Linked DNA regions of Notamacropus eugenii. The protein of the gene in region 2 purifies or fractionates together with the protein of the main gene of each other region. This does not show direct contact. Links are inferred from orthologs where the notes say so. Each region holds a gene or a part of one and is shown on either strand. Other genes may lie near its edges. The genes, in order: GEMIN5, SNRPB2, RBM17 and PHF5A.

Evidence for each region.
Region 1: the proteins of SNRPB2 (region 2) and GEMIN5 purify together in Homo sapiens (co-immunoprecipitation; 3 studies listed by BioGRID and IntAct, with this or other methods). This does not show direct contact. The link is inferred for Notamacropus eugenii from reciprocal best matches to the Homo sapiens genes SNRPB2 and GEMIN5.
Region 3: the proteins of SNRPB2 (region 2) and RBM17 purify together in Homo sapiens (affinity purification with mass spectrometry; 3 studies listed by BioGRID and IntAct, with this or other methods). This does not show direct contact. The link is inferred for Notamacropus eugenii from reciprocal best matches to the Homo sapiens genes SNRPB2 and RBM17.
Region 4: the proteins of SNRPB2 (region 2) and PHF5A purify together in Homo sapiens (affinity purification with mass spectrometry; 4 studies listed by BioGRID and IntAct, with this or other methods). This does not show direct contact. The link is inferred for Notamacropus eugenii from reciprocal best matches to the Homo sapiens genes SNRPB2 and PHF5A.

What each region holds. Positions count from the first base shown.
Region 1 is NC_092872.1:383,300,279-383,307,908, reverse strand, and holds the start of GEMIN5 (gem-associated protein 5), read left to right. Parts: upstream 1-4,179; 5' UTR 4,180-4,282; coding exon 4,283-4,430; intron 4,431-5,959; coding exon 5,960-6,120; intron 6,121-6,953; coding exon 6,954-7,135; intron 7,136-7,630. Other genes in the region: MRPL22 (large ribosomal subunit protein uL22m), read right to left, coding at 715-763, 850-877. UniProt on the Homo sapiens protein: The SMN complex catalyzes the assembly of small nuclear ribonucleoproteins (snRNPs), the building blocks of the spliceosome, and thereby plays an important role in the splicing of cellular pre-mRNAs.
Region 2 is NC_092872.1:591,276,882-591,285,156, reverse strand, and holds the start of SNRPB2 (U2 small nuclear ribonucleoprotein B''), read right to left. Parts: upstream 3,224-8,275; 5' UTR 2,758-3,223; exon of another isoform or gene 2,745-2,757; intron 1,016-2,744; 5' UTR 991-1,015; coding exon 927-990; intron 1-926. UniProt on the Homo sapiens protein: Involved in pre-mRNA splicing as component of the spliceosome. Associated with sn-RNP U2, where it contributes to the binding of stem loop IV of U2 snRNA.
Region 3 is NC_092874.1:178,123,430-178,130,779, reverse strand, and holds the start of RBM17 (splicing factor 45), read left to right. Parts: upstream 1-4,281; 5' UTR 4,282-4,543; intron 4,544-7,350. UniProt on the Homo sapiens protein: Splice factor that binds to the single-stranded 3'AG at the exon/intron border and promotes its utilization in the second catalytic step. Involved in the regulation of alternative splicing and the utilization of cryptic splice sites.
Region 4 is NC_092874.1:300,548,915-300,557,220, reverse strand, and holds the start of PHF5A (PHD finger-like domain-containing protein 5A), read left to right. Parts: upstream 1-5,085; 5' UTR 5,086-5,439; coding exon 5,440-5,491; intron 5,492-5,997; coding exon 5,998-6,021; intron 6,022-6,526; coding exon 6,527-6,693; intron 6,694-8,306. Other genes in the region: ACO2 (aconitate hydratase, mitochondrial), read right to left, coding at 4,949-4,984.

The DNA.
Region 1 (7,630 bases), about 210 Mb from region 2:
CACATGTATACCAGTGACAAGTACAAAGTCATTTGAGGAGGAAACATCAAAGACTGAAGTAATCAAGTATGACCAGTCTGGAAGGACTTCAAGGATTCTGACAGGCAAACGAAGAAGGAATGCACCCCAGATGTATGGAGGGCTCCCACTGTCCTTGCCTACCAAGCAAACCCGAACGCAACTTTTCACTAACGTGACCTATTGTTACAAAGGTCTCTTCTACTAAAGCCAAACACATCCCTTTCCCTCTTTAAGAGCTTTTCTTAAAATCACTGATTCCAGACAAAGCCACTCCCAGTTCCAATCACTCTAGCTCCTAGACTTCCATTCTCTTCCAGTGCTTGTGATCACTACTGAAGTGGAAAGCCACCAGACTGGCCCCAGTAATTCGGGCAGTGGGCCGCGATGGCCCCTAAGGTCCTTCTAGGTCCGATACTCTAAATTCTAAGGCCCTTGTCAGCTCTTACACCCTACGTTCTACGTTCCTAGAAGCCCCCAGGGGACAGTCCAGGAGGTTATTTCGTCGGGGGGGGGGGGGGGGTTATAACCCCGCCCCCAGGCGCTTCAGTGAAGTCTGCTGATTGGTCTGCGGAGAGCCGAGCTGGCGAGGTGGGGTCGAGGCTCCGGGTAGCCCTACCGCCCCACGTTCTAAGACCGCTTCAGCCTCGGACATCCCAGGTTCCCTCCAGCTTTCTTCCTCTCGGGCCGACTCACCCCGCAGAACACGCCCCGCGGCTCCTCAGACTCCTCAGCCAAGACGAACCTGCAAAAGAAACAGAACCCGTCACCTTAGGCCGGCTCTGGGTCCAAGTGCTGGTTCAACTCCCGGCTTCAAGGCCGATTACTAACCTAAGTCTCTCAGCATGACAGCCGCCATCTTTCCGCTTCGCTCTACGGTAGTCGCGAAGGGTCAAGCTCCGCGGCTGGCAGAGCGCATGCGCCAAGATTTTTTTTTTTTTTTCTCCCCCCGTCACCCCCCCACCCCGTGTAGGGGAGGGGGAAGCTCCCACGTGGTCTGCAGATAACCCTAGCTCTGGGTCGTAAAAAAGTACCTGGCGTGCTTTCAGGAGGCACACTGGTGACAAGATAAAGCGCTCCAGAAATACCGGTATTTGCACTTAAAAATCGAATTCCTCTTTCCGTCCCCAATAGATTGTGGAGACGGATAGATCGTTGCACCTAGAATCAGGAAAACCCTAATTCGAATAAGACAGCCTCAATTACCTCATTTGTAAAACACAAACCGATAAATATTAAGTGCCAACTATATGCCAGTCACTGGACTAAAGGCTGGGGAGACGATTAGTAAAATGAAAAGCATTTCCTGTCTTCAATGAGCTTACAACCTAAAGGGGGAGACCCCCCAAAAGGAGACAGAAAAGGATTAGAGGAGAGGGGTGACGCCACCTGGGGGCCCGGGCCCAGGGGCGTCTTCTTCTATGGAGGTGAAACCAAGAAAGGGAGCAGATGCAAAGAGGAAAGAGTCCAGTGAAAAGGCGGTGATAATAATACCGACTTCCCCGGACTGCGGTGATGATAAACGGAAATAATGTTTGTAAAATGCTTTTCAAACCTTAGAACAGGCATTAATGCTGTGCTATTTAGATGAAGACTGAGGCACCTGGATTCTGGAAACTCATCAACATTGAAGGATCATTGGCTCAGAAAGTCCTTCAATCACTGGAAGTAAGACCTCAAGGCAAGAGACACAGAAAGTCAGACAAACTTTTAAACTGGCCCTCATTTCTTTTTTGTCTAATAGGCCATTGTGGTCCTCATCTGAACTAAAATTTATGCCTCTGTGGATCTCTTGTGCATGTGACAAACATAAGCTATCAATGAGTCATCTCCATTGCTGATGGGGTATAGGCTCACTTCCACATCACAGATCATTTCCAGGCTCTAATCCATTTTAAGATTTGGTTCTGGTCTGGACTCATGATTTAAATCACTCATACAAGTTAGCAGCCATTAATAACTTAGTCTGAAAATTACTGGGAGTGATGAGAAAATTGACTTTTCCACAGTTGCCCATTTTACCTCCTGGGCAGCTAGATGCTGAAGTGAACAGAGTAAGAGACCTGGAGTCAGGAAGTCCAGAATTCAAATTCAGACACTTAATAGCTATGTTACCCCGGGCATGTCATATAGACCCGGTTTGTCTCAGTTTCCCCATCTGTAAAATGGAGATAATAATAACACTTACCTCCCAGGGTGGTTGTGAGAATCATCTGAGATAATAATGGTAAATGGTACATAGTAAGAGCTATAAAGATATTGGCTAGTCCTGTATACTGAGCTGCAAAGTTTTGATTTCCCTATTTCTTTTGGGATCTTAAGTATGCCTTGTACACATGAACTTTGTAATGATGATAGATATGTTGGAGCTTCCTTCTTTACAGGGCAGCAGGATAATGGAGGAGCCCAAGACTGCTTGACATACTGGTGATCATTTGCAAGTGAGTTGTAGACAAACTTGGAGTTGCCTGAAATAGCTTGACCAGCCTTGAACTACTCAAAACCTGGCTCATTGTGTCTACAGACTCCCCCACCCCCAAACCTTAGCCCACCACCACCACCTCTAGAAACCATACATATCTCATTTTCCATTCCCCTTTGAGCAGCTGAGAACTCTCCCCCTCTGCTCTGATTGTGCAAGCTCTACTGAGACAATAAACGCTTCTGTAACCTGTGATTGGCCTCTGTTTCATTTCTGGCCTTTGTTAATACCATCTATCCATATGCTTATATATGTGTATTAGCAGATGATGCATGGATGTTTTCCCCTCGGAAGTGGTTTGTGATTTCATTGTGTGGGGAACTTTCACTGATGCACCTCCCACCCACCCTATACACCTATCTCCGAGGGTTTTGTGAGGATAAACTGAGATAATGAATGTTAACTATGGATGTACACTAAGCTAAGGTAATTAGGCAGTGGAGTGGATGATGCCCTGGCTTTAGGAGTCAGGAAGGTGAATTCCAATCCAGCCTCTGTGTGACCCTGGACAAGTCATATAACCCTTTTTTCCTGTTTCCCCATCTGTAAAATTAGCATAAAAATTTTATCTACCTCCCACCCACCCTATACACCTGTCTCCCAGGGTTTTGTGAGGATAAACTGAGATAATGAATGTTAACTATGAATGTACACTAAGCTGGAGAGTCTGGGTTTCTCGATTTTTTTTGTTCACAACTATCCCTAAACCCCAATACCTAAGACTTCTATAAGCATGCCATCTGTGCTCTGACTACAAGGGGATATTTGTGCTACAGAAAAACGGAGAGACCACACCAAGGTGCTACAGGGTGGTGACTGAGCCCTGGGCAACCTTTTAATTAGTGCTGTGGGAGGTAAGAAAGGTTCACTTGGAGAGAGGCCTGGAAGGACTTATATGATCTGATGCTGAGTAAAAGGAGCAGAACCAGGAGTACTTTGTGCACAGCAACGACCACAGTGTGCGAGAGTTTTTTCTGCTAGACTTGGAATTTCATAATAACACAAGAACTTATTAAAAAAAAAATCCCAAGAAATATGGAAGTCATTCGCAGAATGTAGCAGATCATGTCTGTGTGTGTGTTTTTGCGTATCATGTTTTGATTTGTTATATGATTTCTTCCATTTATTTTAGTTCGACTACATTGCATGACTATAGTGAAAATGTATTCAATAGGAAAGTATATGTAGAACCTATACAGAATTGCATGCTGTCGTGGGGAGGGAGGGGGGTAGTGGGGGGTAGGTGTAGGGGGGATAAAATCTTAATTTTATGGCAGTGATTGTAAAACATTAAAAAATAATAATAATAAAATTAAATTAAAAAAAAAAGAAAACCTCAAAACCAAAAATAAAAAAAAAAGAAAAGAAAGGTTAACTCGGGGTGCCACTGGGCACAAAGGCCGAAGTCCTAGAGAATTAGAGTGAATTACTGATGCCTTACGGGAATAGCTTTGGAAGGAAAAAGTCCTCTCTCAAACCAAGAAGAACCGGACAACAAACAGGTAGGAAGCCTCCTCTTCTCCCCGCCCCCCCCCCGCCCCCCCTCCCCCCCCCCCCCACGAGAGGAGAACGCGTTCTCTGCGGCCTGACCCTCAGGGCGAACCGTAGGAGAAGGGGTAAGCCGGGCCTGGGCGGGGGGAAGCATGAAGGGGGCGGGGCTGGAGGAGCTTGCTCTCTTTTCTTTGCGACAGGAGCCGCAGAGCGACGCCGCCGGCCGGAGCTAACGGCCTGGGAGAGCGTGGTGTTCACGCCGCCGCCTTCCTCCTGCCAGGCCGCGCAGCCATGGGCCCCGAGCCGCGGATGCTTACGCCCTCCCCCAACTGGTACTGCTCCCGCTCCAGCGACGCCGGCCCGGGGGGGCTGTTCGGGTTCGCCGCGAGGACCTCGGTCTACCTGCTCCAGATCGGCCTGGGCCAGAGCCCCTTCCACGGTAACCGCCCCGGCCCGACCCGACCTGACCCTGCCTGCCCCCTGCGGCCCCAGGGGGGCGAGATCTACCGGCCGCCTGGCCTGGCCCCTACCCCCTGCCCCGGGGACTGCCGTGCGGCCGGGCTCCTGAACCCGAGGTCAGGAACTTGTGCCGCAGCTTTTTTGTACAATTATTTCAGTTTTCCTGCGTTCCTGTGTAATCCCATGTAATTCTGCGTGCCTTTTTATTTTGCATTGAAAAACACCCCGAAAAAGTGGTGCTTAGGCTTCATCAGGCGGCCACGGCCACGGTTTAAGAACCCCCTGATGGAAGTCAACCTAAGGACAAGTAGATAGAACGCAGCACCGGGAGTCAGGAAGGAGGAGCCGAATTCAAATCCTGCCTCCGACGCTTGTACGTTGTCCATACCCAGGACAGGTCACTTCCTCTCTCGGCTTCAGTTTCCTCGTTTGTAAAATGGTGGTAGCAGTAGCACCTACCTCTGAGGGTTGTTGTAAGGCTCGTGAGATACCATGTTAGATATCTTTATTGATGTTTATTATTTGAAGTTGAATGAATGAATGGCCAGTCAAGAGGCATTTGGTAAGCAGCTGATGAGGGAGAAACTCTTTACAAAGTAGCAATTCCTGCCCATGAGGAGGCGTCCATTGTAAAGGCATTCCAAAAGTCTGAGTGCATTTTTAAGACTTTTGCAACACCCTATATTGTTGAATGAAAAAATGAATCCGTCAAACACACAGTCAGCGAGGCATAGCAGGTAGAGTCCATGTATTTGAGATGAGAAAACCTGGGTGAAAACTCACCTCAGATTCCTAGTGAGCTGGCAAAGTCACCACAAGCACCTACCTAACCTCCTTGGCGGTTGTCAGTAACACAGTATAAAACATAATGACAAACTGTTATTACTAATTGATTTATTTCTGGTTATATTGACAATGGGGCCAAACCAGAAAGACAAGAAGGCACTCTTTACCAAGAGAGAAAATAATAGGGGGCCCTGAGGTTATGTGTACATATTATTATTTTATCATCATCAGTATCCATCCCAGTGAAGAGATACAATGAATCTGCTTGGGGTAACTGCTCCACCCTCTCCTTGTGCTTGCTGAAGGTCTGTAGTGTAGTGGAATAAGCCCTGAATTAAAACCTTGATTATTACTTCATCTTTGTGACCTTAGGCAAATCATTTAACCCATCTGAGCTTGAGTTTCCTCATCTGAAAAATAAGGATGCTGGACTTGATCACCTCTGAGGACCTTTTGTCCTTTCAATCTGAAATTTTAAGACAGCTTGAAGAAGAAAAAGTAACTACCAGCTGATGATTAGAAACTTAGAAAAGTAAATCTGAGGCCCACATACATATAATCTGGTTGATATGTCTCATATAAGGCATATCTTATATGACAAAGCTTCTCTCCAGTGAAGTTGCAAAATAGGGTGTTTAATCAAGGTTGCTCCGGATGTTCATTTTGGTCAATAGCAGTAATTCTTATATGGCATTTTAAACTGATATTTGTTTTTTCTTATAGTCCTAGGAGAGTTGGTAGGACACACAGAAAGGGTTTCTGGCTTCACATTTTCTCACCATGTGGGTCCAATCAACTTCTGTGCCAGTAGCTCTGATGATGGAACAGTGAAAATCTGGGATGTAGAAAATAGAACAGTTGTGACAGAACATACACTCCATCAGGTAATATAATCCAACACTGTTTTCTCAGTGTGACTTTTGCATAATGAAGATTTACAGTTCCTTTGAGGCCATAGTTCAAATCCTGTTTCTGACAATTAACTAGCTGTGTAAGACCATGGGTAAGTCACTTATTTGCTCTAAGCTTATTTCCTCATCTGTAAAATGGGGAATAAGAGTAATAGTAGTCACTATCACAGGTTTATTGTGAGGTTCAAATAAGAGAATACATGTAAGGCACTTACTAAATTTAAAGTATTATAGAAATGAAAGTCATATGTGCTTGTACTATCTCGTTTGTCTGTTCCCACTGACTTTCTTATCACATTACCATTAACTATTAATTGTGTTATGACCTCATTTTCTTTGCTCCAGGATTTTAGGAATTTGTTTTATCCTTTTAGAAATGACACCATATACCTCTTCAACTATAAGAAAAGGATTGCCTGAATCAGAGGTGTCAAATATGTGGCCCATAGGTCACATATAACCCACAACACTTCCAAGTGTATCCAAACCATATTAAAATGTAGTTCCTATCTAGTTTTAATGCACTGATGTAGTAAAAGATGCTGCCATAGGATTCTTCTTCCTTTAGAAGTACTTTTCCTTTTGAGAAAGCAAAGAAGGGAAGATGGGACCAATAAATTTTACTTAGCAGGCCCTTTGTGTGTAAAGTTATATGGAGAAAATATTTGAACAGTGGTTAAAATTGTTCCTTGGATTTTTCTGGCCAGTTTCTCTATCCCTTTATTTGTTCACTGTAACCTTTTCAGTTTCTTTTACCAAGTTATTTAGCTAATAAGCTTCAAAATTGTGGTTTTTTTCCTTTAAAGAATACCATATCAGCTTTGCATTGGTCACCTAAAGTAAAGGATCTGATTGTATCAGGGGATGAAAAGGGAATAGTCATTTGTTATTGGAATAACAGAAATGACAGCCAGCACTTCTTCCCAGAACCCAGGACGATCTTTTGCATTACTTGTTCACCTCATCATGAAGATTTAGTGGCCATTGGGTATGTACTGTTGCATTTTGGAGGAAGGGGGTAGGGAGAGTGGTAACTTGTTTTTATTTGGAATATTTGAAATATTTGCTTTGATTCTTTGTTAAGAGTGTTCTTTTTTTCAAGAATCTCAAAGATGTTTGAGGCAGTCCTCTGGTCCAACCTTTGGCCCCAGTCAATGAGTTCTTTCTACAGCATGCTGGAAGCATGATCATCTATCCTTGGCTTAACCTTTTTTTGTATCATAGACCTCTTTGACAGTCTGGTGAAACCTATGGACTCATTCTCAGAATTTTTTGAACACATTAAATAAAATATATAAGATTCCCGAAGAAGCCAATGATATTGAAATAAAATTTTTTAAAAAACAAATTTGTAGACTCTGGGTTAGGAAACAGGCTCTAGCAATAAGGAGCTTTCTGTTGCAGTATTGAAGAGTTTTAGCTATTAGAAAGTTCTTTCATATTTATATTCCTTTCACCCATATCAGAGTTTGGAATATTTTTA
Region 2 (8,275 bases):
GCTGCAAAAAGCTAACAACATTACATATTCCTTGTGCTACCTCCATCCTCTATTCCAAGCAAAGGAAGAATTTAAGTTATGAAGGTTTAATTTTGTTTTTGAGTTTTTGCTCATTTTTTTGGCTACACTGCCAATTAAGACTCTCCCACTGAGAAAAGAGCCATTATAATTGACTAGACAGTATAAAGATTTTATAAGATAGAGTAAATTCAGTCTCTCCACTTACAAGCTTCAAATAGCAACAGCAGGAGGCAAGCTGTCCTTGAAATTCAATCTGTAGTTAGTCTTAAATTGTTAAAATCAGATTTGATGCACCTCCCACCTCTCTTTGCAGAGGTGAGGTTCTATGGGTGTGGAATAATCCATATACTGTCATGTATGACTGAAGTGTCTCGTTTTAATAAACTGTTATTTACCCCTCTTTTGTTTTATAATCTTTGTTACCTACAATGAATCACTGAATAGGTGAGAAGGGTAACCATACATTCCTAAGTGAAAGTAACATAAAATAGACAAATGACTTAAACTAATACTTCAAGCACAGGAATAAACAACTGAGGTAAAGGAGGGGAAAGATAGTTTAAAGAAACCTTTTGTAGTGTTTGCTGTCTACATCCAAGATCAGTGCTATTTAAAATGTATGATTATATGGGAAAAGTTTGAGAGAATATCGTTAATTTTGCTCATATCAAAGTATTAACTCTCATTAAGGAATAACAAGAAAAAAGCATAAAGAGTACAAGTAAACTTGGTTTACAAATTCTAACACAAAAAAAGTACTTTTTGAAAAGAGGTCATTGTACTTGGTACATATGAAAAAATAAAAATTTATTCAATGCAGAGTTTATATTTTGTAGCCAATTTCCTATCAACCAACCAGATATATAACCTAACACTAGGAGCCAAACAGATACACAAAAACATACCTTCTTTTTTGATTTTATCATTCATATTGTTGATATAAATTGTATGATTTGGCCTGATATCCATGTTTTGGATTAAATTTCAGAGAAGCCTAGAAATAAAAAAAAATTCATTTTAAAAATTCTCTGATCAGCAGTTTAAACTGGTGAAGCATTCATCTCTATTTCTTTCTAATGTATTTTACCTCACCTGATTTTCTAAATCAATGAATCAACCAGCACTTACTAAGCTCCTATTATAAACAAAGTAACTATACTAGGTGTCTGAGTTGGCTGGTTGTTGTCCTTCATCTTGAGGCCCAAAATGACATCACTACATTGGTACTACTGTGATCAGACCAAGAGGAGTTTGGTCTGCATAAACAGGACATTTGGGATGGATTCTCTGAAAATGAGCATCTTGCATTTCTTCTGGGCTACTTCGATTCCGCTTTGCTCATACAGCACAAAGCCTTCTTTGATGCCAACATGCCATGTTCAGTGGTCCATATCTCCTATGTCCCAAAGTTCTTCAAAGAAACCTTATAGACTGAAGCTAGAAGTGGAAAACTCCTCCACCTCTAGGAGCTTACTCAAATAAAGTAGGGTCATTTCCTCTCATGCCCAGAATTGGTGAATTTAAAACTCAGCTTCTGAAAGGTAGATATCACATAGTTACTTTTTGGATCACTCTCTCCCCACCCAAAGAAGGATCCTTCCCCCTCCAAATACACATGACTGGGTACCAGGTCACTAAATGGCTCTCAACAAGACGCCCTCCTCTAGTGCTCCTCAGCTCGGGCCCCTGCTCCCCAGGTCTCTGCGGCTGGGGCTATAACCAAGAAGCTGGCAAACCTCTGGGTTTAACTGGCATATTCTCTGGCTGTGCCCCACGCCTGAACTCCTTCCCTCTTCATCTCCCCTAACCTCTCACAAGGCCAGCGCCTTCCCTCTGCTCATTATTTCCTGTATTTCCTGCATACAGTCTGCACCGCACATATTTCTATGCAGTTGTTTCTTCTAGCAGAATGTAAGCTCCTTGGGGCCAGGGGCGTGCTTCTGTCTTGGGTTTGTACCCCCTGCCTGGCACACAGTAAGCGCTACATAAGCGTTAGCTGCTATCATTATTAATGCTAGTGTCTTCTCTGTTACGGTTTATTCTGTATATATACACGTGTGTGTGTGTGTGTGTGTGTGTCTCCCCCACCATACTGTAAGCTCTCCAGAGCCCCAGCTCTCGTCTCCCGCCTCCTGCACGCCCGGCATTCAGCGCACCGCTTGACACACAGCAGGGCCTTCATATTTACTGCCTGAACGATGTCTTTGGCTCCTAGCTCCCCTTAAGTCCCAGCCTACGCCTCCTCCTCTACAGGAAGCCTTTCCCTGTAGCGCTTGGCACAGCGCCTGGCACACCGTAGGTTTCCCGACGGCCGGTGCCTCCGTATGACCCATTTTCCGTGGATCCGGTCCACAGCCGGTCTGTCGGCCCAATTCCCCACCGGACGCCGGACAGGGCCCGTCTCGGCCTCTTTGTGTATCAAGAGGGCTCAGGGAGCACCGTGCCCCGCACCCGGGAGGGGCTCAACGATTTTGGGCTGCCTGGCTAAACTGCGGGCGTCCGGAGCGAGGAGGCCCCGGGAGGGCCCCGCCCCCGCCAGTCCCAAGGCGGCCTCCTCTCCTTCCCATCCCCGGCCGCGGAGCCCGCGGGCTTTCCCCGCTCGGACCCCACGCGGGCGAGGCCGAGCCAGGAGAGAGGGGGAGAGGACAATCCCCAGGGAAACTGCGCCTGCCCCCGGCAGTGAGAGAGAAAGCATAGACAAAAGAGGCAACTCCGTCACGCACCTCGAGGTCCTACCTAAAGGCTTCAGTTGCCTCTCTCAGTGCTCGCTCCGCGCCGAAACACCGGAAGAGAAATGAGAACGGCCGGAAACGGAGTACCTGGAGAGACAGGCACCTCAATTAAATACCGAGCGCCGAGAGCCGGGCGCCCGGCTCGTGGAGAGGGCGAGCGCCGAGTGTGTCGATTCCCCGAGAGGCCTCGGGCTGTATAGTCCGCGCAGCGCCTGCGCTCAGGGTCCCAGTGGAAGGGTAGGAGAGCGGCGTTGGGGAAATGGGAGAGAAAACGGGGGTAGCTGGGTGGCGCAGCGGGTCCGGGAGACTGCAGCGTTCCCAGGCTGGCCTCCGTGTGACCCTGCACAAGTCACTGAACTCCATTGGCCCCCGTGTCCTCGCCAGTAAACGAGCCGGGGAAGGAGATGGCCAAACCCCCCCGGTAGCCCTGCCAGGAAAGCCCCCAGGGGGCCGCGGAGAGTCGGGACCCCTCAGAGAGGGCCTGCGTATCTGGGCTGTGCGTGGGGGGCAGTGGTTCCTGTCTGTGTTTGTGGGCTAACCCGTGTCCGAATTGTTAGGAAGGCGTTTGAGGACTTGCGTGTGCCGTCCTCACTATTATCGATCAATAACCCTCCAGTGCCTCCTGGGGGCCAGGCACTGCTGAGGGCACTAAAAGGGGCCCTCAAGGAGGTCACGGTCCAACGGGGAGACAGTAGGCAAACAAACACGTACAAAGAAAGCTACTTAGAGAGTCAATGAGTAATTATTTTAATTAATAAATAATTGATAGAGAGAAGGCGCTTGAATTAAGAGGGGTTGGGAACCACTGGATTTTAGTTGGGACTTAAAGGAAGGATAGGCTCTATTCCCAGTTGAGGATGAACGTTGACAGAAGCAGCTAGGTAGTTCAGTGGGTAAGATGTAGACTTGAACCCAGACCCGAGTTTAGGTCCTGCCCCAGACACTTTCCCACCTGGGAAATACTGATGGGTAAAAAGCTTGGCCTTGATGTTGAAAAGCCCTGAGCTCCAACCCTGTGCCCTGGGGATATTACATCACCTATATCACCGGGTGGCTTCAAGGCTCAAACGAGAGAATGCGTGAAAAGTGTTCTTAAAAACTGAAGCTCTGTATAAAAGTTAGCTATTATCATTGTACTTGATGTGGGGGAATCTTTTCCACTCACATTTGTAGTTACCTGGACAAAAATGATACTGAGATCCTGGAGGTGGAGGGCCAACGGAAGCCAAGGAGTCAGTGATATTTCTTGAATAGGGCCAAGATTGGCCTCAGTTTGTGTAAACTTAGGACTCAGGTTTCTGGGCCACAGATCTGATTCTGAGACACTCACTGCTAATCCTCTGAACCTCTTCACCAAAGTAAACACCCATTGGGAAATCTCAGATGCAGCCTGGCAGTTGTATACTCTACCCAGCACCAGAGGGAACTTGGGAAAACTGCCAAACTTTCTATGATCCTCAGAGAACAACTTTCTGTTCTCCAGACTTAACTCTTCCTGACTTCCCCTGTTAGTCTAATGAGTGGGATGATACAAGGAATGCTCTGTCTGGAATCAGAGGATCCGAGTTCTAATCCCAGCTCTGCCCACTTACTTCCTTTGCAGTTTTGGGCAAATCACTTAATCTAGCAGGGTCTTAGATCCTTAACGGTAAAATAAATGGGTAGGAGGAGATGACCTCTAAAATTCCCCTAGCTTCAAATTTTTTATCCATTGAACCTGGGAGCCCAATAGGAAACCTCAGTTTCCTCCTGGAACCTGTCATATATTTCACAAAGGACCTTAATTATGTGAACACAGGAAAAGAGTGTAATCTGGGGCTCAAACCAGTTGATCAAAGAGTGTTGATTAAATAATTACTATATTCCTTAAACCTGGGGATATAAAGAAAGGCAAGGAGCCTTTTGCCCTCAAGGAGCATATATTCTAATGGGGGAATAATAGCTAGCATTTAGATCCAGTTTTGAAATTTGCAAAGTACTTTATAAATCCCCCAATGAAGCTCCTCCATACTTTGGATTCAACCAATGATTCCTCTGTACCTCCAATGGGTGCTATTTAGGTCCTGACAGCTTATGGAGTAAAAAAATGGAGTTAAGACCAATATCTGAATGCCACTTCCTCCCTTTTCTTATCTCCCTACCCTTGAACTCTCAATATTTACTTCTAGCACTAATCCATCCCTTTTGCTACTATATAGTCTTTTCTTCCTCCCCCTACATTCCTCCAGCTCTTTGGCTCTTTCTAAGAAGAGTATACATCTTCTCAACTTTATGGGTGAAGTTCTCAGTTTATTAAGTGAGGCATAGATACAACTCTTGTTATATTTCTAATCGGATTCATTAATGTTCATAGGATCTCAAGATTTAGATGATAGAATCCAACTCCCTTACTTTACAGATGATGAAACTGAGTCCCATAGAAGGGAAGTAGCTTAATGCTAGGTGTACCTCCAAGCTTTCCCGCTTTGGTGCTGCATAAGGTTTTACATTTGGGTTCAAAGAGACAGCTTCACAAGTATAAAATGGAGAAAGCCTGGCTACATAGCAGTTCACATGATAAAAATCTGGAAATTTTAGTACACAGCAAAATCAAGATGAGTCAACAATGTAATATAGGAGCCAAGTAAGATAGTATCATCTTAAGCTACATTAAGAGAGGCATAGTGTCTAGGACTAGGGAAGTGATAATCCCATTCTACTCTTCCTGGTCAAACCTCATGTAAGTTCAGTTATGGGTGCCACATTTTAGGAAGGACATTGATAAACTGGAGAATATCCACAAGGGAAACAAAGAGAATGGTAAAAGATCCTTGAAATCATGCCACGTGAACATCAGTTCAAGAAACTAGGAATGGTTAATTCAAAGAAGAGAAAACAGGAGACATGAGAGCAACTTTTAAGTATTTCAAAGGCTGTTGTGAAAGACAGACAGACATTTCTAGTTTGGCATCAGACAGCAGAATTAGAAACAGTAGGTGTAAGAGGCAGGGCAGATGAAGGCTTGATGTAAGGAAAAACTTCTGAACTAAAGCTATACAAAAGTTAAATAGGCTACTTACCTCAGGAGGTAGTGAGTTCATTTTCTCTGGAAATCTCCAAGCAACAGCTGGGTGATCAATCATCATTGGTTATTTTGTAGAAGGAATTCTTGTTTAGATATGGTTTGGACTAAATGGAATCTGGAGATCTTCCTGTCTCTGATTTCTATCCTTTAAACAGGACCATATTTTAACCTTCCATCAACCAAATTGTTTTCAATGTCTCTCTTTCCAGGTTTATATATATCCCATATAAACTTCTCAGTTTAATCAGGTCCAGCTGTTTGGATCTGTTTGATTTTAACAGGGCAGAAAGAGCAAGAGCCTGTGACCCAGATATCTGGGGGAAAAAAAGTGAGTAAGTAGGATGAACTGAACACCTACTGTGTGCCAATTTAGTTCTTAAAGGTCATCTTTAGTCAGCTTGGGAAGCTCCCATATTCCACTGGCCTAGAGGATTGCAATAGCCTGTATCAGTAAAATCACAGCTGGTCCCTATCTCTAGGTCCAATGTTATGGTTCTAATCTTCTGCAAAGAAATCTATTAACTCAACATATAAGCAGAAAGAAATGATACACTACATTTATTTCAAATCCTTTTCCTATTTAACAAAGAATCTCCCCCAGTGAGGGCTGCATTGGTGGTTTTACTATATAATAAATAATAAATAGATCTAGACCCATACTAGGCCCTTGTCCATCACCTAATCCTACTTTCACAGGCCTAACTCCATAGGCCAATTACACCATGAAAAATGAAGGGGGTCCTAGTGCTACACAAGGCAATAAAAAGGCCACCCAGAGCAGTAGCACAGTAAATTAGTTTTGTTGTTAATCATTTAGTTGTATCTGACTCTTAATGACCTGGTGGACCAGAGCATGCCAGGCCCTTCTGTCCTGCACTATTGTACATGGGGTTTTCTTGGCAGAGATACTTGAAGTGGTTTGCCATTTCCTTTTCCCTTGGATCACCTTTTGTCAGAACTCTCCACTATGACCTATCCATCTTAAGTAACCCGGTATGGTGTAGCTCAAAAGTTTCATTGAGGTATACAAGCCCCTCTGCCATGACAAGGCAGTAACCCAGGAGGGGAAACTGGTTTAGAGTAAGTACTCTTCTGTTGCAGTGGTAGTATTATCTAAATAGCATTAACCATATTCATCCTGTAAAAGTTATCCTCACCCCTCCCCTGGGGGAAATGCTGGATGACTATTTACTAGGTGAGTTCTAGGAGGAAAATCTTGTTCACAGCCTTGTAAGTGACCTCTAAAGTCTCTTCCAAATCTTGGCTTCTTTGATTTCAGTTAAGAAGTTATGATTTACCTTCCCTTGACAGGTTATTTGTTTTTCTTTTATTGAGCCAAACCTAGAGGCAGTATTATTATATTCTAGCCAAGCCAAGCTTCATATAGTTGATCATGATAAAGCTTGCTTCTTTTGGGGGTGACAGAAATATTACTACAAACAGTTGGAAATGAAACTGCTATGGAGCTTGAATTATAAGGAGGAGAACTGATGAAGATCTTTGTGACTCCCAGACCCACATACATTTTCTGGCTTATCTGCACTTGTTTTATTGGCCTTATTAAATATGTCCAATATCTTGCTGTGGTAGTTTGGAGAAAGGGTAATGTTTAAAAGGGGAATGCATCATAAAGCAGAGGTGGATAAATATTTTGGTTTATTTATATAACATAAAGCAACAAAATGTGGAACATGCAGTTTGTTTATGCCTCCTTCCCCCCAAATAGCGATTACAATAAGAAATTTATGTACAGTGAAATTATTTTTTACAACAAACATTAAACAAATCAAAACATGATTGTTGGGCACCAAATCACCATATAAAACAAAGTTTTATCTTTTCGTGAATTGTTGGAATTACATTGGCTATGGACTCAATGAAACCTAGAAAAAACTTTGAAAGCAAAAACGAGACTATTGTTCCCATCCATTTCACTAAAATCTGTTTTTCTCTTTGTGGTTAAGTGCTTCGGAGAAAAAAAAGAAATAAAAACAGATTTTTGCCTCTGATGTGTGAAGTATATACAATCCTGGCCCAACCTTCACATACACCAGGAGGATACACCTCTTCAGGAGAGCTATAGTTTGAGACAGACTGGAATAATCTATGTGTTCCATTAAGGTAGGCAGCAATATTGTCTGGTTTGAGGAAACTGATTGCTTATCTAAAGCAGTGCGAAAGGTGTGAAAAGAACTGAAATTGGGATTGTTCGATACTGTCAGGTGGTTTAGATTAAGTGTTCTGTATTGTATTGCTTGTCTGCTACTGAAGCCCGCCAAAGTAACATCTTGGAAATACCATCCCCTTAGGAGACTCGGAAAAATAAGATGCTAATCTCTTGAGAGAATCTAGGGAGCAAAATATCATGGAAAAAATTGATGGCTATAGCAGTCTTTGCTCTTCCTGGGAGAACTCACTACAGGTTCTTTTGCAGCTTCAGCCCTGGGGCTGATGTGAA
Region 3 (7,350 bases), on a different chromosome or scaffold from region 2:
TCTAATTAGCTACCACAGATTTACCCATCATCTCTCTCTGCAGATGATTTCCAAATCTATACATATAGCCCTCATCTCTTTTGACCCCTAGGCTGGAATTACCAAATGTCTGCTAGACATCATCTTGTGCATATCTCATAGTCATCCCAAACCCAACATGTCCAAAACAGAAACCATTAACCTTTTCCCAATCAACCCCTCTCCTAATTTCTACTAAAGGCACTACAACCAGTGGGTCAGTAAACATTTATTAAGTACCTACTATATTCTAGGTACTTTACTAAGCATTGGGGATACAAAGTAAGGCAAAAGACAGTTCTTCCTTTTCAGGTTCTTAGTCTAGTGGAAAAGACAACATGTAAACAGCCAGGTAAAAAAAAGATATGAACAAGATAAACTGATAACAGATTATGGAACATAATGAAAGACTTCTTCCAGAAGGGGAGATTTAGCAAGGACCTGAAGGAAGCTGAAGAAGGCAGTAGTTAGAGAACCCCAGGCATGTGAGATAGCCAATGAAAATGCCCAGAGTCCAGAGAAGCAGTAAGTTAGTTATTTAAAGGACACCAAGGGAGGTCAGTCACCCAGGTTCACAACTACTCTCCCACTCTCCCTCCCTATCTCCAATTCATGGAAAGGTCTTACTGAGTCTGCCTCTACCACATGTTAAGGGATGTTAAGGGGTCCCCTGAACTTGTCTTTTTGAGTTGCCATATTTTCCAGAAACAATGAACCCAGAGCATGCAGGAAACCCTAAACGTGTCAAGGATGAAGCTGACATAATTTGTCATTGCACTCCCAAGCTGGACTCCCTGTGTGTCCTTGAGAGGCAAAACAGGTGCCAGCAAGTCTGTGCCAGGCTAGGACAATGTTTGTGCAGCCAGGGTCCTTTGCAGATAAGCAGACCCTCCTGTCTTTCGTAGTCTAGCAATTCCCAAGGGAAAAGAATGTGGCTTTTGCCTTGGCCTGCTCCTCCCCCGCCTTGCTGCATGGGTCCCTTTCCCATGTCACACTCTTTTCTGGCATCCCCTCCTCCCTCTGTCCTACAATTATAAAAACGAAAACTTCTGTAATAATTGTGAACTTTTTGCTTCACATTCATTTCCACATTCCTTTTGTAATAAACCTAGTTTTCACCTAAGTTTTGTACAGGTGTGATTTCCTATTGGTGCATATCTCTGCATTCTATTACTATTTCTGTTCATACAACAACCACCCAAGTTCAAGCCTCATCACCTCTAGCCTTGGCTGACAATAAATAGCCTCTTCACTGGTTTCTTGCCCTTCAGTTTCTTACTGATCCAATCCATCCTCCACTTAGCTGAGAAACTGATATTCTTAAATCCCAGACCTACTCAGGTCTGGGCTCAGTTCAGGCTGAAGAAGCTCGGGTGGCTCCCTACTGTCCCTAGGAGGATAAGAAAACAAACGCCTCTGTCCAGCAAGTGAGGCCCTTCAAAATCTGGCTCAAACTTGTCTTTCCAGGCTGATTCCATCTTATTCCCCTTCACAGATTCTGTGTAATAGGATGTTCCGACTGCTGCTTCTGTGCCTTTGCAAAGACTTCCCCCACCACCACCCCATCCCATCCCCTTAAGTCTGTCCCTCTTCTTCCTTCAGACTCCACTCAAAAGCCACTTTTTACAAGAAGAGGCCTTTCCTGATTCTTCCAATTGTTAGTATCCCTCCACCTTGAGGTCACTTTGGGGTTTTTTGTATATTCATTTATCTGTAGTATACTCTTTTGTGCTCCTACCCCATCCCCCAGCTGTTGAAAGGCACAAACTGTTTCGGTTTTTGGTTTTTTGTTTTTGTCCACGTATCCCTATTACCTAACTCAGGTATGTTCAACTGCAGAAATTTAATAAGCAGCCCTTATGGAACTTCCATTCTTTGGGAAAAGTTGAGGGAGGGGGAGAGGGAGCAAGCAGGCAAGCAGGGGAATCCTTTTCTGTTTTGCCCCAACAGACTATGCCTAGGGGCTGACCTTAGGGGATAATAGTTCCTTTTCAATACAGAAAAACCATTTTTCTACTCCTTACCAAGTTACTATCTCACTATCAAAGCAGCTGTTCCAGACCTTTTCATCTTTCCTGCAGTCTTCCATGGTACCCTCTCTGCCCCACCCTTAACTCCACCCTCCAAGCTGACTATCCTATCTTTTACTGTCACTGAAAAATTTGAGACCATTTGCCAAGAGTTCCCCTTTCCCTCCTCCTGAGAAAAACTAGGACCGGACACTTGGTTTCTTTTTGAACAGACACCATCTGTCTTTTGAACATCACTTAACAGGATGTTTTCTAACTGGATGTTTAACTGGAGTCTGTGATCCCTCCTTCAATTCATCTTCCACTTAGTTGCCAAGATGCTTTTTTTCTACTCAAAAAATTCCAGTGGATCTCTACTGCCCCCTAGATTAAATACAAAATCCTCCTGTCTAGTCATTAAAGCTTTTTCCTAAACTGACCCCTTCCTGCTTTTCTATCCTTTTTAAACTTTATTCCCCTCCATCCTACTTGTTCCTGAACAGACCACTCCTTCTCCTGATGACTTTCCACTAGCCTGAAACACTTTCTCTCTTTGCTTGACCTCAGCTTTCCCGGCCTCTTCCAGAAGGCTGGTCCTCGCTGGTCTCTCCAGTCCCTAGCGCCTTCTGCTCTCGGATGGTCTGCCTGGTGAGTTACCCGGACTAGGAGCTCCGGGAGCCGAGGGCTGTTCTCGCCTTGGTTCGTCATCTCCAGCCTTCACCGCAGCGCCCGGCCCACAGCGAGCGCACATCTTGTCGATTTCCAGAGCCTGGATTGCCTACAAAGTGCAGAGCTCGGAACACTTACCAGTCCCCTCTTAGGGCTCGGGGTCCTCACCTGTACAAAGAAGACTCCTATTTGTGCTACCTGTCTCACAAGAATTCTGTGAACTTATAAGCCAGCTCGAACTAGTACTGTTACTGCAAGGCGTGAGTGAGTTGTTGTTCGTCCTGGGTTCTTGAAGAGGACCAGGGATATCAGGAGCGGGGCGTGACCTGGATTGAGGTGAGGGCCTCACTGTCCCCTCGGAGGTACCGTTGGCAGGACACAGGCTGGGCTGGCCCAGGGCGCAAGGGGGGACCTTGGCCTTTCTGGGTCCTTCCCAGGTCTCACTTGGTCTGAGGCAATGCCGGATCAGGAATGAAAGGCGAGGTAAGAATTGAGGCCGAAGATGGCCTAGCTTGCCTTCCCAAAAGGAGGGGAAGACCATAGCATAAGCCTTGGCCATGCTCTGAGCCATCAGAGCCCAAACAATGACCTAGAGGCGTGGGCGGGGACCTGTTATTGGCCAATCAGTGAGAGCCAGAGGGATGTGGTCAGCTGGCTCCAGCTGATCCCCAATGGACTTTATTCAAGCCTGGCTTTCCAGGGCTTTATTTCAAGAAACCATAAAAGAAAACTACACTGGGAAACAGGAGTTAATGGCAGGACAGCCAGAAGAAGGACAGGTTGGGGAGGCCCCGCCCCTTAGAAGGGGGAGGTAGAGGCTGGAGGAGCCGAGGCTCCGCCCCCACTCGTGGAGCTAGACTGTCTCCTCTCCGCCTCGCTCACACGGCGCCCCCTGCTGCCTGGAGGTTGATCCCGCAGCACAATTTCTCCCTCCTGCGGCACATCTGCAAAAAGAAACTGAAACGTGGCCTGATTTTGCTGCAGAGAATAAGCCACCTCCAGAAAAGAAGGCAGCCAAATGGAAGGAAAAATATGAAGCGGCTATCGCAGCAACCTAAACAATTAAAGGAAAACCTGAGACCAAAAGCTGTGGTCCCCAAAAAGCTGTTGTTTGTAGAAACAGAAAAGACGTGGGCACGACCAGTGACTGGCAGTGGGGGTTACTTTTCTTCCCTTCAGGCTGGAAATCAGCACCATCCTCCTCAAATGAGTCATCAGGACCAAAGTTCGAATCCTGCCTCAGACACTTACTAGGTGTTGGGATCCTAGGCAAGTTTCCTCATCTGGGAAATGGGGGTGTTGAACGACTTTAGCCCAAAGCCATCAGAGAAAGAAGGACCGAGGCCAGAGGGAGGGTAGCAGGAAAGGGGCCAGGTGCTGTCAAGTTTTACCTCTGGGATGGGATGGCCTGTTGAACGCTCACCTGCGCAACTGGGGGCAGAGCTCGCCCGAGGGTCCTTCCCCAAAGCTCAGAACCTAGGGCGAGGATGGGAAAGAGGCGAGAGTGAGGCGTGCTCCTGGCCTCCCACCGATAGATGTCGCCCCACAAGCAGACGCCTGCTCCTCCCGCCTAGCCCTGACGCGCGCTCTCCCCGCTACCGACCGCGAGCCGCCGCTTCCTCCACGCATTTGGCGCAGGGATTCGTACGGACCGCGGCCGTGGCGTCTCCTGACGCTTACGCCGTTCGCGTTAAAAAATCCTCCCGCCTGGCTTCCGGGGCCGCTCTGCCCTTACGCGGTTGGTGGAGCTGCGGAGCTTGCGCACTTCGGCTCGGCTGCCCCAGCCACCTCCTGCCCCGCTGCCGCTGCCGCTCCGGCCCATGGGGAAAGTCAGCCGGGCCCCCCGGGTGAGTAACCCCCTCCGGCCCCCCGCCCCGCGCACAGGCTCCCCGACCGGCCCCCTCCGCTCTTCCCCGAGGCCCATGCAGGCCTGGTCCGAGCGGGAACGCCGGCCCCCGGCCCCGGGGTCGGGCCGGCTCTAGGCCGCGCTGCGGAGGGGCCGAGGGAGACTGGCCGGCCCGCCTGGGGCCCAGACACCTGTCGTCTCCCTCCAGGTCTTTGCTGGGCCCTGCTCCCGGCCCTCTCTGATCCCCTTCCTTCCAAGGGTAAGGGGCGCTCCGCTCTTGGCGGCTTACCCCCCACCCCTTCCTGCTTTCACCCCCTGCCCGCTTCCCCTTCCCGCCGCTCCCCTCCCCTTCCTTCGAAGAGCGAGGAGTCTCCTGCTTTTAGTTTCTTTCTGGAATCCCCTCTTCCTACCCCCCAGCCCCTCCCTCGCTCTCCATGCCCCCCCCTCCTCCCTTGGCCCCTGCCTGCTGCCCACTCTTACTCCCTCCGTCCCTTCTTTCTCCCCCTCCCACCCCTTTCCTGCCCTCCCCCTGCTCCCCCCCTTCCTTTCTGCCACCCCCCTCAGTCCCACTTGTTGCAGCTCCCCCCCTCCTTTCCATCCCCTCTTCCTCCTCCCTCCCCCTTTCCCCCTTTCAGACCCTTCTTTTTAGAAGCAGCTCACAGCCCGGTGAAGAGGCCGTTGTGGAATTGGTGGGGTTAGCCCAAAGGCCTCATTTCGTGCTTCAGAAAACGAAGCCACTAGTGAAAAGGATTGGGTGCTGGGGGGAAATGAGGGGAATCTTAGACAAAGTGGCCACCCCATTTTAGCGTTTATGATAGATTAGGCCAGGAAAGCCGGGCCTAGTGGACTTGTTTTGGGAGAGTCGGTTTCAAAGTTTTCTGACAAAGCATGGATAGGGTGCCACAGACTCAAATTTTACCTGGAAAGCCTGCCTAGGAGCCATAAGAAGCAAGAAAGAATGAATTGTGAAAACCCCAAGAAATACTTCTGATGAGAAGGAAAGGAGAGACTTACTGTATGTGCAGAGAACTATGGGAGGGTTGGTGGAGCTTACAAGATTTGGGGGGGAAAGAGGTTCAAAGAAGTGCCTGGTGCTCAGTAAATGAAACGATGGCCACCCACAGAAAGGAGAGCTACCAGACTCTTTATTTTTTTTGCTTTCTCTACTAAGGAAAATGATCTTTGGATTGGAAAGGAAAACACAAAAATGGCCAATAGGGAGATGATCGAGCAGAGATAAATAGGAAAAAAGTTGCAGAACAGTTAGCTCACTTTGAGGATTTTGAGTTACAGGACTCCAAACAATTGCTTTCAGAGTACTGAAAGAATGGACTGATGTTCTTGCTTAGCAGCCACTCTGGGGTGATATCTTACAGTTCCAGGAGGATTCTGGAGTTCTACAAGATTTAAGAAGCCTACTATTTCAGGGACAGTAACGTGAGTTAGGAATACAGAAACATGGAGGGTCTTGTTTGAGAACCAGCAAGGAAGCCAGTGTCACTTCACTAGGTTATTTGGGGGGAGGGCAGGCTCAAGGTGGCTAGTAAGATATAAGAAGACAGGAAAGGTAGGAAGGGGCAAGGTTATGAAGGGCTTTAAAAACCACAAACAAAGGATTTTATGTTTTATCCTGATGGTAGTAGGGAGCCACTGAATTGAGGTGAATAGGGAGGTAACATAGCCAGGCCTGTACTTTAGGAAGATCACTTTGACAGCTGAGTAGAGGGTAGATTGAAATGTGAGGAAAGACATGAGTCCAGGAACCTAACCGCAGGCTATTGCAATAGTCCAGGTGTGAGGAGAGGAGGGTGTCAGTGTCAGGAGCAAAGGAGGCCTATTCCAGAGATGCTGGACAGGGCTTGACAACAGATTGACTATGGAGAGAGGTGGAGGGAAATGAGACTGAAGAATCTAAGATGACTCCTAGGGCTAGAACCTTAGGCCCTGGACTAAGAAAGGAAGAAGGTTCAGTGAAACATTAAATTTTCAGCCCAAAAGGTGGGGCCTGCAGACTGATGAAAATGTTTGGGAAAGCTCCTTTTATGATTGGGATAGTGACTCAACTAGGGAGATAAAAGAATTGCCTTGCTTCAGTGGGATTCCAGTTGAAATTATTTTACTAATTTGTAGTGGACTCAGCAGCCAGCAGCAGAGATTATTGGACCTAGGCTTTGTAGGAGAGAAGGGCAGAGATATTTATTAAGCACCTTGCTATGTGCCAAGTGATTTACAAATATCTCTTTTGATCAGCAGAGTGAAGGATGGTTTGGAGTCAAGAGTAATCTAGAGGCTGTTAGAATAATCGAGGCAAGAGGTGATGAGGGTCTAAACTGGGTGATGTCTGTATGAGTGTTGAAAAGGGGGAAAATATTTTAGCAGTAGAAAAAACAGTGAATAACTGACCAGACATATGAGGTGAATAAGAATGGAGAGGTGATGGTGACACCAAGGTTTTGAACTCAGATGACTGGAAAGGTGATCATGTCTTTGGAATAGGATTGAGTTTGGGAGGGAAAAATGAATTTGGACATGTTAAGTTTGAGGTGCCTTTAGTAAGGGGCTCGTAGGACATTCTGATTGTCCAGAGCGGGGAAGGGAATGAACTCTGCAAGTTATAAGCCCATGAGTTTAAATTTGATTCCTGATACAATTCTAGAACATGTTAAGAAGGATGGATGATTTCTCAATAAGGGAGAAGTAATCTCAAAAAGTCAGTGTGGTTTCTTCAAAAACATGTCATTCCAGACTAATTTTTTTTTAAAACAGTTGTTGTGTTGGTAGGTGAGGGAAATGCCATATCATGTGCAT
Region 4 (8,306 bases), on a different chromosome or scaffold from region 2:
TAATCTCCTCCCACCAGGCGACAGAGCTAGCCTTGGTCACTAAGCAACAGGCAGAGGCTAAAGCTGGCAGGCATCTTCAGGGGGGCTCAGCAGGGGCAAGTCACATTTTCCGGAAGAGTTCCCATAAGCCAAAATGAAACCAAGACAACCCAACTCTGCAGGGGCAGGGTTTTCTACACGGAATTTTACTGAGAACCTAATAGTAAAGCAGCATTTATTCAGCGTGGGTAGAGAACTGAGAAGAAGATAGCTAAAACACGGTTCTCTCCTGACCTCCTGGAGCTGACAGCAGGGAAGGGGAACTTCCAACATCACCCCCATGCTCTCCCCAAATACATACACACAACTATAAAACATAATAACATGTGATACGGGCAAGAAAGAGGCTGGGGGGGCCCCTCAGAGAAAGCATCTTGGAGGGGGCAGAATCTGAGGTGGGTTTTCAAAGATGGGCAGAGAGGAGCCACTTGTGCAAAGAGCTGGGGGCAGGAAAGCACAGGGTGCACTGAGATGGTGGTTGGGGCTCATAAGCAGTTCGGGGGGGAAGGGGGGCCACCAAGAATGCTGGGATCTGTGGGGGCACACAAAGAGCAGCCTGTAGCTGTGGTGAGGAGTGGGGCGGCTCCTAAGACTTTAAACATGGGCTAATGATAGCATGTGCTGTGGTAGGGCCCCGGCTGGTACATGCCAGCTCAGCCTCTGCCTCCCCAGCCGGCATGCCCTGTGGTAGGCAGGGTGTGGAGGGCCACAAATGAGGCCCACGGCCCACAGGTTCGGATTTCTTTCCATGTATCAGTTAGCCTTTTCTTCTTTTCGTTTTGTCATGTGGGATTGCTCTCTGGGAGGGAGAGGGATACGGAGGGAAAAACAAAAAACATCAAGGAAACCGTATTTAAATAGGAAAAGGGGAGAGGGGCAGGGCATGGATATTTCTAGAAATAACTGTGATAGACAGAAAAGCTCCATCTGAACCGGAAGTCTAGCCCAATGCCAGACACAGCAGGCGGCTGTCATGGAAAAAGGATTGAGGAGTGCTCCTTCTCTCAGTGAGGGAAACAGGAGACCTACCTAGGACCTCCTTCTCTGACCTTTAAAAAAGATGAAGGTCAATGTTGGGAAAAGGGGGCTCTGGGATGTCACTTATTAATCATTCTTTATATCTGAATAGCCTGTTACCACTAACAAGGTGCATCCACACACTTAAAGGGCATCTCAAATGCTACTTCCTCTTCCCCCTCCCCCTCCGGTCTTCCCTGACATCCCCCCTCCCCCCACCTCTCTGTCCAGTAACTCCTTACTGCTATCTCCATTGGCTCCTTCCTCTCTATCAGACAGGACCTGTCCTCCGAGGAGCTCCCAACCCCCCCAGCCCAGAACACAGCTCAGGTCCTCTGATTTGGCTCCAAGGGGTCCTGGGCCAGGGAGGGAAATGGAGAGGCGGGGAGCAGACATTCTCCACAGCCGCTAAGGAGGCCTGACTTGTGGAATGAGCAGCTCCAAGAAAATGATGATCTTCCCAAGCCACGAAGTCATTCTGCTGTGAGTCTAGAACCAAAAGTGCTTCCCTTGCATCGAAGCCAGAAGGGACTCCTAAAGAAAGAACACCAGGCAGCTACTCTGGATGCCACTAAACTGTGCCAGTCTTTAGATAACACTACTAGAGATCCAAGAAAGAAGAACATCTCAAATGCTCATCATATACAGAAATACTGATAGCAGCTCTTTTGGTAGTGGCAAAGCATTAGAAACCAAAGGAGTACCCATCCACCAGGGAACTGCTGAACAAGTCATGGCCTAAGGATGTGATGGAGTACCACTGGGCTGTAAGAAGTGATGAAGCGGATAGTTTCAAAGAAGCCTGAGAAGGCTTTCATGAACTGATGCAGAAGAAAGCAAGCGGAGGCTCTGAGAGCCTCGGGACTCCTATCAATGGAGTGACCAGGGATGACTCCTGAGGACTTGCAGGCACAGGCTGGGGCCTAGTGGGCGCTGACGTGCAGGCGCAGACGCCTTTTGTAGGGGACCATCGCCAATGCAGGAGTTTGTTTTGCTTGACTAGACAAGTTGGGGACGGGGGTTGGAAGGAAGGTAGAAAATAAAGTTCAAAGAAAAAACAGAAACAAAGGCAGGAGCAATATTTGACCTTTTATAATCATGTTCTAGTAAGCTACAAGCACACGACGAATCAAGCCAGCACTCACATTATGTGGGAGTAGCTATTATTCAGTTTTTCCAGGTGCCACAATTGAGTGCAGGTATTTGCCCAAAGTCACACGCTAAGTCAGTGTTGGAGACAAGTCTGGAACACAAGGTTCCTGATCTCTAGCTTGTTTCCAACATGGACGGAACACCAAGATAATAGTATCACAAGGTGTCATCATAAAACCATAAAATATTCCAGTTGGAAGATGCCTTAGAGATCTAGTCTAACCCCCTGAGGGCCAAAGAGGTTACATGGCTGCTGCCAAGATACAATGGGGCAGGACTCTAATCTTTCCATTGTACTATCTGGGCCCACAGATAGGGGCAAGATCTGCCTTAGAGTGGCTGGGAAAGCATTGGGGGGGGGTCCCCACTCTCTTCCCAAAGTAGGACCTTCTTTCTCACTGGAGATCCAAGAATGTATCCCCGGTGTACATATGTAATGACTGGACAGGGAGGAAGGAAGATGATCCAAAACCAAAATTTGGAATCTCTTGAGTTGGAAGGAATCTGAGAGGAAAAGCTCGTTTTGTGACACTATCCATAAGGTCTCGCCTAACCCTCACCATACACCAGGCAAAGACAAAACAAATCACCAGTTCCAGCGTTCAGAAAAAGACATAAGTCTTTATAAAGCAATGCACTCTTGCCAAGTGAATCGGTCTTTCATCAGGGAACACTTGTCACAAAGTCACTGACTAAGTAAGAGATGGGATGAGACTGGCTCCTCCAGAAAAGAAGAGATCAGGGAGAGGTACCAAGTCTGCTGGTAAACTGGAGACCTGAAAGTATGATGTGCTCATGCCCATCCACCAGCACTGGGCCCCCCTGGCCTCAGACCACAGGTCCAGGGCTCTGGCAAAGCTTTGGATTCCTTCTCCAGTCTTTGCCATCCCATTTTTCTCACTCATTTCTCTACTGTGATTGCTGCAGTCAGTGCTGTCAAACACCCTCCTGCAACTTAGACAGGCCTCATCTGCATGCCTTGGAAAGGGCTGAGAATCCAACCTTTGAGGATGCACTTGGGTGTAAGCAAAGTTACCACCATCTTGATGCAGGTAAAGGAACATGCCAGAATCCCAGAGGCTGCCACAGGCCAGGAAGAATGAGGCAGTGAGTGCCACAATAAACACCTCAGGTTTCCACAAGTCTAGGCCGCACTCAAAGGTACATGGGCTCATGCCATCTGTACCAAAACCTTGTGAGGCAGGCAGGGCCCAAAGGCCCAAGGGAGCACCTGCTGACCACCTGGGTCTCAGAATCCTTCGTCTCCTTCGTCACTTTCAGTACCCTCTTCACCACAAACCTGCCAAGCACTTCTTACTACACAGACCTTTTTACGTTTGTCCTTCCCCTTCCCACAGCCCATAGACACCATGCTTCTTGACAGCAGACGTTTAATTTGCCTTCATGATCCAGTGCCTGCCACAGAGGTTATTTAAACTGATGGATGTCACACCAACTCTCTAGGAAGAGCAAGGGCAACGCAGACTGTTGTCAGAGACTCAGAACTTTCCTCTTCACCCCGAGACAGACGCAGCAGTACAAGGAGCCTTGTCTGCGTTGGGCCAGCTAATAAGCAGCTAGGACTCAAGTCTTCTGACCCCAAGTCCGGGACTCTTCTCATTACATCCCGTGGTCCCACCGACTACGAATGGTTGAGAATGAGAATGGGCAGGGGTGTTCCTAGCTTCCAAGCCCCATAATTCTGACCTTTCTTGTATCATGCCATGGCAGAATCAAGAAGAAATGATCAGTTTTTTCCCTCCCACAGGATCAGTCTGTTCAGGCCTGGAATTATTTGAGAAGTCAGAAGCATTTTAAAAGGAAAAGCTCTTCCCAAGCGTGGCTCTATGAGGCAAGAAAACTGCATCCACTGGAGCAGAGTCTGCCGGAGCCCACGGTCTGAGCCTCGGGCCTGGGGGCCTTCAGACCGCCTGAGAGCAAACCCCAGGGCCCCACATTCTCTCCATCAGCGAACGCTAACAGGGCAGCTGCGGATGCTTCAGAGCCTCCTTCTCCTGCGGGGCCCGGCCCCTGTCCTCAGGTGTGGGACGAGGGAGGGGGCTCGGGCCTCTGCTGCGCCGGCGGGGGTCCTGGCTGGCTGGCTGCCCCCTCCTCCGCCCCACGGGAAGGGATCACAGCCGGCTCGGAGGGGGCGCGGTGCTTCGTGGAGAACGGAGTCCGAGTGGGCACCTGGTCCCCACGGGGGAGGGGGGAACGGAAGCGGCGGACACCCCCATCTCGCGTCTACTCTTGGCCCACGGACGCGCCCCGAGGGGAGGCAGGGCCTGGCCCTCGGGGGCACCGATCCCTCCGACCCCTGCCCCGGTCGAGGGCGGCTTGGCCGAAGGCCTCAGTTTCCCATCCGTGCCCAGGGGGCAGGAAGGCGACCAGAGCCCGTGACCTTGGGCGCACGCAGGCCGCCGCCCGGTCACCTTGTCCTCACCTTGAGGCCGCGGGCGGCACCGGCTCCGCCGAGCCCCGACAGCCAGACAGGAGCAGGAGGAGCCGCCCCAACCCCGGGCGCGACCCCGCCCGGCCCTGTCTTGGGCTCCGCGGAGCCCGGGCTGGGATGCCCTCCCTGACCTCGGGCGCCGCGCCCTGCCGGCCCGGCCCAGCCAGCCCGCCCACCTGCCTGTCCTGCCGGCCCGGGGTGAGGCCCTGCCCGCTCGCCCTCCCCCTCTCGCCCGTTGCCCCCCAGGCCGCCGCACGCTAGCCCACCCGCCTACTGGCAGGCGCTCACCTGCAGCCGGGCCACCAGCAGGTTATACGGCGCCATTTTGTGCACTGACAAAGATGTGGTCGCGTGAAAATGACGCGCGCGCCGAGGCCTTTAAAGGCTCCGGGGGCGGGCCTGGGCGCGAGGCGGGGGCGTGGCCTGCCTCGGAACCGCCCACAAGGGTTGTGGGCGGAGCCTGAAGAGAAGCAGAGGAGAGAGGGCTCTGGGGTCCCAGGCGCCGGGGGCGGGGCCTCCTGAATAGGGGTGGGGGTGGGCAAGGCAGAGAAACAGCACCGGGCGAGCCTAAGGCCATCGCTGTCCCTGGTGGTAGCCCGGTCAGAGACGGACGGAGGAGCGCCCAGAGGGCGCTCAATCTCATCACACCCCTGAAGGCTGCGGGAGGGGGAGGGGACTTGAGTGGAGGAGAGGCCTTGATTGGCGGGGAGGCGGAGACTGAAGGTCAGAGGTCGAGCGGAAGCAGCGGCTGCATCCGGCGACCGGCCCAAGGCTAGGCGATGGCCAAACATCACCCGGATTTGATCTTCTGTCGCAAGCAGGCCGGTGTCGGTGAGTCGGGATTTACCCGTCTCGAGCCCTGGGGCATCTCTGCGGTGGGAGCTAGGTCTTGGGGTACTCTTCCTCTTCTGCCTGTGAGATGTCGCCTTTTCCCGCCCCAAATCGATGGAGGGAAGGGTAGGCGGCGCGTGACAGTTTGGATAGAACGGGAGCTGGGGGGCCTTGCGCGTGGCTCGGTTGGAGCAGGGCGCCTGCGCGTTGGGCCCGGGGGTGTTGGCCGGAATGGCCGCATCTGGGGCGCCTGCGCACTGCGGGGGGCGGGGGGAGGAGGGGGCGGGGTCCTCGGCGGGGGCTGGCTTGGAACTGCCGCGTGTAAGCCTCGGGAGGCAGAAGCGCCCGGACCAGCGGCGGGCACGTGGTAGGACCTCAGTAAGTGCTAGTGACTGAGCCCCAGGCCCCGCCTTCCCCGGGTGGGTCGATAGTATTCCGCGTATGTGAATTGTTAAGCCCTAAGTCTGCTCACAACTCTTACCCTGTGGCGCTTTTGTTTCTTCTAGCCATCGGGAGGCTGTGTGAAAAATGTGAGTATGAACCCCCGGCACCCCCTCGGGTGGGATGCACCTCCCGAGGGCGAGGGGCACTTGGTCGGGCGGTGCTGTTGCCTGCCTGTTTGGAGCCATTTTCTTGCCTTCAGTAAGTGTTTGTTAATAAGAAAAAAGGAATCCGAACAATTCTTAATGTGTCTGAGCAGGGCCACCTCAGTTAGACACCTGACAGTGGGGGCTCTGGGAGGAATTTTAAAAGGCCTTAAGGAATTTGGCACATTTATAAAAAAAGGCAGGTGTTACAACATGGCAATGCTCCAGGGCTTTGTTGGGGGTGGGGCAAGGGGAGAACGTCCCAGACAGGACTCGGATGATCCAGTTGGCTTCTCTTGTGGAAGAAATACTTAGGGAGTATCCAAGTGGTGCATCCACTGTGGATCTGATAGAAGAATCCGGTGTCGCTTTATCCACAGGACAGAAGTGACTGGAGTTGAAGCAGTGGGTGTTTGCAGGTGAACTTCACAGTGTCTTGTTGTTGCAGGTGATGGCAAGTGTGTGATCTGTGACTCCTACGTCCGTCCATGCACATTGGTCCGGATATGTGACGAGTGTAACTATGGCTCATACCAGGGCCGCTGCGTGATCTGTGGGGGCCCAGGAGTGTCGGACGCCTATTACTGCAAGGAGTGCACCATCCAGGAGAAAGACGTGAGTGCGCTGATGCTGCTCATCTGTCACTTAGTAGTGCCTAGCAGTCCCTATCAGAGGCTCCCAGGGTGCCTCTGACACTCTGGACTTCCTTGTTTCCTTTGGTAGAGACCAGTCTCTCCAAATCCTGGGAGCTCTTTGCACCAGCTGCCAAAGCAGAAAACACATAATGAAAACATTGATAACCTTGGCCTCATGTTTTGGAGAGTGCTGCTTTTATTCACTGACTGAGCATGTGCACCCTCCCTTAGTGGGCAGGTCACTTTGCACACGGCTGCAGTGAACAGTTGTTGATTTTGAGGAGGATGTCTGCCAAGCTGGCTGTTACTTGGGAAGTCTCTTCCTCTTGGCATTTTTGCTCACCTTGCCCCCAGCCACACTTGCTGCCCAGATGTGGACCAGGGCCAAAGGCAGGTTTTTTACCTTTAAGTGCCTACGTGGGACCTGCTAAGCACTGGGGGGGATATAAAGGTTAGAAAAGACAAGGCCTCTCCCCAAATAGAGCTCCAAAGTTAGGGGATGCACAGGTAACTATAATGTACAACATTAAAATACAAAGACTTTGGAAAGTCACAAGAAAAAGGGCTGTGGGAAGTCCCAAAGGAAAGGTGATCATCCGTCAGGGAGCTCAGTGAAGGCTTGACCTTTCCCAGTATTTGTGTGACAGACCCCTGCCCCCAAAACCATTTTCTGCCAGTAAATCTCATAGTTTACTTACTTTTTGTGACAGTAAATAAAAGAAGGTATATGTGCGGTTTCCTCTACCAGAGATCCCCTGGCGAGACATGGCAGTGTCAGCAGGGCATCAGGAACCTCTCTGCTGGCATGTCTGAGTTCACACCTTGTTAGGGGGCAGTGTACAGCAGAAGGCCAACCTCTGCTCGGTGTCTGTGGCTCAGGCTCCTTCCAGCTGTTTGGAGCCAAAAGGTGAAAAGCACTTGACTAGGTTAGAGAATATTTCTCGTGGAATTACTGGGAAGGGGAAGGGTCGCTGACGCCTACAAACCTAATTTTGGTCCGTTATTTCTCCCTTCTCCCCACAGTCAGCTTTCTCCCTCATCCATCCCTCTTAATCGTGTGTGGTGCTGTTAGCACCCACATTGCCCTTCAGCACATTTGACTGTGCTGGGTTAGCTAAGCTAACTGAGAATCAGGACCTTCAACTACCGGGGATCCCCTACAGTGCCTATAAATGCAGACTCGCCCCAGCCAACCATCTTTTGGTCAAGATGTATCATGAATACATTGTACCATGTCACCATAATAGAAAATCCCACTGAGATGGTGCCAAATGACTCCAGCTTTCCCATAGACACCCCCCACCCCAAAACATTTGTGGATAAGTCAGATTCTAGGGTTCTGGGTTCTTATTGCTTTTATATTCTGGACTTGCCCACCCTACACCCCGAGAGGATTCTCCTGGATTATGACACTGTGCCTGTGGACCTTGTTGCACACTCCTTGGTTTCCCCATTATAGTTAAGTAATGACATTAGGTGGGGTTGCCTTCAGGGAGCAGCTCAGAAAATGCTTGGGATTGCTTGACTCTGCTCATCATACTTGGTTAACAAGCAGTGAACCAAGACAATCCTCAGATTTCATGAGTTGTACCT